2 linked regions of the Coturnix japonica genome follow. The protein of the gene in region 1 interacts with the protein of each later gene in a pairwise test. Links are inferred from orthologs where the notes say so. Each region holds a gene or a part of one and is shown in the gene's direction. Other genes may lie near its edges.

Region 1 (3,911 bases):
ACATACACATTTACTAGATCAGGTTGCCCAGGGCCCCATCCAGCCTGGTCTTGAACACCTCCAAGGACGGGGCATCCACAACCTCCCTGGGCAGCCTGTTCCAGGGCCTAACCACTCTCCTAGTGAAGAACTTCCCCCTAACATCCAACCTAAATCTTCCCTCTTTTAACTTAAAACCATTTCCCCTAGTCCTGCTATTGTCAGCCCTTTCGAAGAGTTTACTCCCCTCCTGGGAGTAAGTTCCCTTCAGGTATTGAAAGGCTGCAAATCTTGTAAATGGGTTGGAAAAGATCATCCAGTCCAGCCTTAACTCAAACCCTGACACCCACATTCCACATCAGTCAGTTCTGCACCCACACAGTACTGAACGCCTCCAGGTTCGGTGGCTGCACCGCCTCCATGGGCAGCCTGTGCCACTGCCTCACTGCTTCGTCTGAGAAGTTTTTCCTACCTTCGTCAAACACTTGGTTTTCAAATGATTCAGGGAGGTAATTGTCCCCCTGTACTCAGCACTGGTGAGGCCGCACCTCAAGTACTGTGTTCAGTTTTGGGCCCCTCACTGCAAGAAAGACATTGAGGCCCTGGAACGTGTTCAGAGGAGGGCAACAAAGCTTGTGAGGGGTCTGGAGCCTTATGAGGAGCGGCTGAGGGAGCTGGGATTGTTCAGCCTGGAGAAGAGGAAGCTCAGGGGAGACCTTATTACTCTCTGTAACTTCCGGAAGGGAGGTTGTAGTGAGCTGGGGGTTGGCCTCTTCTCTCGCGTAATCAGTGATAGAACTAGAGGGAATGGTTTTAAGCTGCGCCAGGGGAGATTCAGGCTGGACATTAGGTAGTATTACTTCTCGGAAAGGGTAGTCAGGCACTGGAATGCACTGCCCAGGGAGGTGGTGGAGTCACCAACCATGGGAGTGTTCAAGAAACGTTTGGATATTGTGTTTATGAATATGATTTAGCCGGGAAGTATTGGTAATGGTTGGACTAGATGATCTTCTAGGTCTTTTCCAACCTTGATAATTCTGTGATTCTGTGATTGGGTGACGATGCCCACAGGCCTTCAGAGGGTATTAATATAATGTCCTAATATAATATAACGACTCCCGTTTCCCGTTAACACCTATAACAATAGCAGACTGCTGCCCATCCATCCTCCACGCTCAGTGCCGTGCACCCGTCGGGTCGCTGTCGCTTTAAGATCGGGCTGTGGCGGTGCCTCCATCCCGTGGTGCGTAGCGCGGTGCGCGCGTAGTGCTGTGCTGCGTGGTTGCCCGGTTGCTCGGTCTCTCGGTGTCTGGCCGCGTTCCTCCCGCTGGATCCGCTCCGTGCCGCCATGTGGCGCTGAGGCCCCGCCCGCCTCGGGAGCCCCCGTCGCCCCGCCGAGACCCCGCCGCCGCCTGACGCCGTTCCTCAGCTCCGCTCCGCTCAGTTCCCGCCGCCATGTCTGCGGGCTTCTCGTTCGGCGCGGGCACCCTGGGCTCCGCAGCTGCTGCTGCCGCCGGGGCTGGAGGAGGAGGCGGGGGCGGCGGGTTCTCGTTCGGCACCACCGCACCGAGGTAACGCGGCCCTTCTCCCCTCAATCCCTATCGGCTGGGCCCTGCCGCCGGCCTCCCCTACCGGCCCGGCCTGCGTAGGCCTCGGGGTGGGCGGTCGGCAGGCGGCTCTACGCTTGGGTCTCTTGGCGCTTTTCCGGCCTCTCCATGCGGCCTCAGTCCCGGCCCTGCCCTCAGGTGGGATCACGGTGTCCGCACGGCCCCGGGTGCCGCGGGGCTCCGTCCGTGCCGCTGTTGTGTGCCGACCACGCGTGGCTCTGCTAAAGGCCCCGCTTAGCGCTCAGGGGTCTCTTGGAGGTGTCTCAGAGGCACCTTGGAGGTGTTCAAGACCAGGTTGGACGGGGCCCTGGGCAACCTGATCTAGTAAAGGTGTATGTTTGGTGGCCCTGCCAGGCAGGGGGGTTGGAACTACATGATCCTTGAGGTCCCTTCCAACCCGGGTCATTCTGTGATTCATTCTGTGATTCTGTGAGTCAAGTTTGAGTTTCAGGGTTGTTTTTCTTTTCCATATATGTGCGTACAGGTGTGTTAGTGCCACTGTTTCTTCTGATTTTCTTGCTGCTGTGCTTTTACTGGAAGGAAGCCTGTTCCAGTGGAGCTTTCTCAGAACTTTGGAGCTCTTCCCAAATCTGATGGTGCCAAACTAGTTGTTAGAAGTGAAGCTACTCAGGACATCAATCTCAAATGGGTGTGATTCACAATGCGTGCCCCCAAGCATTGGCAGGAATTAGCAGGGACATGGGATCATCACAGAATAGTTTGTTTGATCTCTTTTAAGGGTCCCTTCCATCAGCCACGAGCATTTTCTGGAGATTGATGGCCCTCCTTGTGGGGGGGGTTGGAACTTTATGATCCTTAAATGTACAACTATAATTGAGAACTTCTTTCATCTGATTGATGCAAGTTTCCTGTAGCATTTAAACGTTTATATAAGCGTTTATTTTTTGCTATTCTATCGAACTTTTCTTAGACTACTTAAAAAAAAAAAGAGTAAATATATCATACGTGCCAATAATATATAATATCTAAAATAATAGCAAAGATGTACTTGGCATTTTTGTTTATATCTTTATTTCCATGAGTAGGATGAGTTGATCTCTGCAGAGCTGAAAGCATTATTGCCAGGTGTTGGGGGAAAGGGGACTTTATTCTGTTGTCTAATCATAGGTTGTTATGGATCACTGTGATCAGTCACAGTTTATATTCTTGTGTCTAAAGGAGTACGGCATGGCAGCCTATGTAATTCCTGTGTGCTACATATTCAGCTTTATACAGGTATGGTGCTTTGTGAGGCGCTTGTTGCCCAAGTGAGTTGTGGATGCCACATCCCTGAATCATAGAATCATAGAATTACCGAGGCTGGAAAAGACCTTGAAGACCATCAAGTCCAACCGCAGCCTAACCAGTACCCTAACTCTAAAAACCCTCCACTAAATCATATCCCTGAGCACCACATCCAAACGGCTCTTAAACACAACCAGGGATGGCGATTCAACCACCTCCCTGGGCAGCCTATTCCAGTGTTTAACTACCCTTTCTGTAAAGAAATTCTTTCTAATATCCAACCTAAACTTGCCTTGGCGCAACTTGAGGCCATTTCCCCTTGTCCCATCATTTGTCACTAGTGAGAAGGGACTTGCCCCACTCTCAGTGAAGGTGTTCAAGGCTGGATTGGATGGGGCCCTGGGCAGCCTGATATAGTGGGTGGCAGCCCTGCCCATTGCAGGGCTGGATCTGGATGAGCTGTGTAAGGTCCCTTCCAGTCTAAGCCTTTCTGTGTTTTGCTCTAGCTCCAAAGTTAGAGTTTTCCCTTAGGGCCACCACGCCGAGGTAATGCCTTCCATCTGTGGGCAGTAGGAAATAAACCCTGTGATCTGTGCTTTTCCATGCTGCCACTGGTTTGCCTTTGTTTTGGCTTAGTTAAACTTGTTCATTTTTCAGTTTCTCTGTTGATGCTGTTGTTTGGTTTTTTGTTTTCCCCATAGTGCTGAGCACTTGTTAGATATAGGAGCTGTGCTCATACTGAAAGTGAGGAGGTGAGGGAATAAAGAGAGGATATTAAACATATGACACTTAATCTGTGAAGATTGTTACGTTGAAGTCTAAACTGTGCTTTATTTCATTGCTGCTGTTGTACGCTGTGCCAGATGTCTCAACTGAAGGGAACTTGTGTAGTTTATCAAGAGACCAGCTTGTCTCTCTCCTTTCTTTCTTGTGTCTTCCATGTGAAAATAGCTCTGGGAATTAATTTCTTTAATTGGATTGTGCAGTGTATTCTTAGAAAAGAAAATATTTGAAGTGTAGGTATGGGTCATCTGTGATTTGCATTTATAGGCAACAAAAGTGGTTTTGTTCCTGTTTCTT
Region 2 (3,911 bases), about 64 Mb from region 1:
TTGCTTAACTGATGCCTATGTAAATCACTCTGGAGTCCTGTAGCTCAAGGACTGCCTTGGTACTAACTAATGTTGAGCAAAAATGAATATTAATGCCTGACAGATAAATAGTAGCAGCCTTTAAGCGTAACCCTTGCTTCCTGGTGGGCAGTTACATTATTCCTCAGCATATCAGAGCTGAGATGGATGCCAAGTAAGCTAAGAATGGGATGGACAAGTGCCAGATGTGTCACAAACCCTTCTCTCTGAGAGACAGCTGCAATGAAGTGTTCTCTGGAGCTACTGGAAACAGCCAGCTGGGCTGAAGGAAATCTCTTTCTATTCACATAAAGGAGGGGGCAAGTACCTGACAAAATGCATCATAGACAGAGGATGCAACAAAGCTGATGAAAAGTCTGGAGCATAAAATCATAACAGGGAGTAGCTGAAGGAGCTGGGATTGTTCAGTCTGGAGAACAGGATGTCAGGGGAGACCTCACAGCTCTCTACAACTATCTGAAGAGAAGCTGTGACAAGGTGGGAGACAGCCTCTTCTCCCAGGCAATGGTGATGAGAAGAAATGGCCTCAAGTTGCACCAGGGGAGGTTCAGGTTGGGTGTTAGGAAGGATTTCTTGTCAGCAAGAGCAGTGCTGCAGTGGCACAGGCTGCCCAGGGAGGTGGTGCAGTCACCGTCCCTGGAGGTGTTCAAGAGCCGTGTGGATGTGGCACTGAGGGACGTGGGCAGTGGGCATGGGGGCCACAACGTAGGTAGAGCCAGCTGAAGGCTTGAGGTGTTGGGCCGTGGCAGCATAGCAAGTGGTACCTAAACGTGCTTAACTGAGCTGAGCAGCAAGGACAGCAGGCCCTCAGCTGGCTTTTGGCTGCATCCCTAAAGCCTTCAGTGCGTGTGGTGGCTGGGGAAGCCAGGGCCGCATCCCATAGCGCACAACGCACCAGTTTGGCTAAAAACAACTTTGAAACCAACCAAAGCCACTTTCTCTCTGCCTTCTCAGTGCTACGTCACCCAAACACCTCCTAACACACTCCAGCAGGGGTTATGAAGGCACAGCACTGAGCTAGACCAGCGCTGACACACAACCCCACCTCCTACGTCTACGCTAGTAACGTAACCACGCTGTGGGCAGGGACATGTACTAATCCCCGCCCCTGCTACGCTAGTTGCGTATGTACGCTGTGGGGCGTAGCCACGCACCGAACCCCGCCTCATGGACGCGACGTATTCGGGCTGGTTCCGGTTCCGTCGTGGGCAGTTTGAAGGTGATGGCGGGCTTGTTGTATCCGCTGTCAGGTGGGGCGGTTGCGCTGGATTCGTCTCTGCCTCTGCTCGAGTCGACCATCCCTCGGGAGGCGCTGCCGATGGAGCGACCGCGGGCTAACGGGAAAGGGGAGGAAGAGGAAAACGACGAGAACCTGCCCATGGTGTTCCTGTGCGGCGGCTGCAAGCGGCCTGTGGGAGATACGCTGAGTTGGGTGGCCAACGATGAGGACGCGACGTGTATTCTGCTGCGCAGTGAGTGCTGCTCCCATCTGCCCTCTCCTGCATGACGGCTTTTGGGGGCCCTTGGTCAGTGTTGGCTCTGTGCAGGTGCCTCCAGCAACATCTCAGTGGACAAGGAGCAGAAGCTGTCCAAAAGGCCTGGAGAGTGTGGATGGTGAGCGCTCTTCAAACCACAGTCGATAAAATACATGTGTATGTACTTTTAATAGGCGAAGGGAGGAGTGATTTGCTCTCTTTGTTTTTTTTTAAAGCATGGTTGAAACGTTTTCCTGCTCTGGCTGCTCGAGGGCACTTGGCAGCATCTACAGATGCACCCCAAAGCATCTCGACTACAAGAGGGATTTGTTTTGTTTCAACGTTGGCTCAATTGAAAGGTAAAGACAGAATCTGCATTGCTGTCGGGTTAACCTCACCTTCCAGACACCATATCAAGGGATGCTGCTGCTAACAGTCTGAGCAAGTTCCCTATGGTAGTTAGGTTTTGAGTATCTCTGGAGGAGACTCTACAGCCCCTCTATGCTGTTCATTCTGGTAGTCTGCCACTCTCATGGTAAGAAGCTTTTTCTCATGTTTGTATGGAGCATCCTGTCTTCCAGTTTGTGCATCTTGCCCTCCTGATAGGGCCAGGCTCTTTTCAGTGGTGCCCAACTGCTTGGCTCTGCCCTTTAGATATTTATAAGCTTTAATAAGATCGGTTCCCTCAGAATTCTCTTCTCTAGGCTGAATAGTCTCAGGATCTCAGCCCTTCTGGTCTTAAACTGTTCTTTGATGTTTGAGGATGTTGTTAAGTCTCCACATTAGAGTTCTGTCCGAAGTTTATTTAAAAATCTCAATCTTCAGAGCCATCTTAAAGGTGGAAGATTTTAAGTATCCAGACTAGAGATCTTTTATCCAAGTGTTGTTATAGTACTAGTGATAAGCTACTGTTACTTCCATGTGGGCTAGTTTTACTGTTTCTACTTCTATGTGAAGTTCCAGCCTGTTCTGCTGAACATACATGGGTGTTTTCCTTCCTACTCTGAACAGTCTTTTCTTCTTTACACAGCTAAATACTTTGGTTTTTGATGACAGTAAAAGTCTCTGGAAGACTATGACAGGGCTACAGAGCAGCATTCTCTTGGAGTAGTGATGATGTCTAGTTCTCCCATCTAGTGCTACACTAATCTTAATATCTGAATGACATCTTGGTTGTTTAGAGCTCAAAGCTGTTGAAGTTTTACCGTACAGCTCATTTGCAAGATTGCTAAAAATAGGGTTGTGTTATTGTTGTTGCCAAAATAGTGCTTTGACTGTGCTGGTGCATTAATTGCGATCTTATCAAGAGTGGCGGATGAATCATACAAGTGTTCTTTTGCCTTCAGAATGAAAAGTGCATCATCTAAACTGTAGCATATCAGTTACATTCTAGGATCCTCAGAAAAGCAGGCTGTTACTGATGAGGAACCTTTAACTCTCGAAAGTCGAGTTGCCTTGGAAGAAGCACTAAAAAGGGTAACGCTTAATCTTGCATTGTTTTGATGACATCTATACTTGTTCTTTATATTGTACACCTGTTTCTAACCAGGTCTTTCCCCATTTACTTCACAGGCAAACACCATACTAAATGCTCTGGAGGCAAGGCTGGCTACTGTTGAATCAAGAATCGATTCTCTTCACAGTAATGCTTGAAAGAAAATCCTGCGTGTAAAATAACTGCTGGAGATTGATGTGTGTGAAACTGGGATCTGTGGGAATATTTTAAAAGCTGCTCGAAGATCTGAAAGATGTGGGCAGTAGGACAATGCCAGCTACTGAGTCTTTGTCACAGATGAGGAGTTCCCCTTTTGTCTTGAGAGAATACCCTGGGAAGAAAAAGACTTCTAAAAAACATTTCAGTCAATTTGTTGTTTATATAGAAATATTTATTTTTTTTTACCTTGGAAAGCAAAGGTCTTATCTCCTGGTTGTCCTGTATTTTAATATCTGCTGAACTGAAGGCTTCAAATGCATCAGCTACTATGGCTTCCTGTGCAGTACTGAGAGTCACGCGTGTAACAGCCTCAAAGAGGAGAAGAAACAAGGCTACTAGCAGCACACCTTTTAATCAAAGTTAGGTGCATATTTGAACAAAGAATTCAGTGCTGCTTAAGAAACTTCTGTCAATATTTCATTGTTAACATGTAGATCTTACTGTTATGGTTTTCTGTATGTATGTCTTCCTAGCATTGTGTTGTTTTTTTTTTAATCCCCAATAAATCAAAGTAAGTGGTAATCGTGTAAGGGAAAAATCTGATTTCTGTTTATTTACATACCATTGCCCGATGCTACTTAATTGCATCACTGCTAATTTTTAAGTAGTCTCCAGAAACTTGGAATGAATTTTCCCACTGTTCTTCCTACTGGTAACTACCATTTCTCTTGAGAGCTCTCTTA

What was found.
Region 2: the proteins of NUP58 (region 1) and MIS18A interact in binary tests that used the Homo sapiens proteins (3 or more experiments, as listed by UniProt). The link is inferred for Coturnix japonica from reciprocal best matches to the Homo sapiens genes NUP58 and MIS18A.

What each region holds. Positions count from the first base shown.
Region 1 is NC_029516.1:158,396,808-158,400,718, reverse strand, and holds the start of NUP58 (nucleoporin p58/p45), read left to right. Parts: upstream 1-1,211; 5' UTR 1,212-1,434; coding exon 1,435-1,550; intron 1,551-3,911. UniProt on the Homo sapiens protein: Component of the nuclear pore complex, a complex required for the trafficking across the nuclear membrane.
Region 2 is NC_029516.1:94,345,558-94,349,468, reverse strand, and holds MIS18A (protein Mis18-alpha), read left to right. Parts: upstream 1-1,183; 5' UTR 1,184-1,261; coding exon 1,262-1,511; intron 1,512-1,586; coding exon 1,587-1,653; intron 1,654-1,750; coding exon 1,751-1,873; intron 1,874-2,896; coding exon 2,897-2,990; intron 2,991-3,086; coding exon 3,087-3,167; 3' UTR 3,168-3,758; downstream 3,759-3,911. UniProt on the Homo sapiens protein: Required for recruitment of CENPA to centromeres and normal chromosome segregation during mitosis.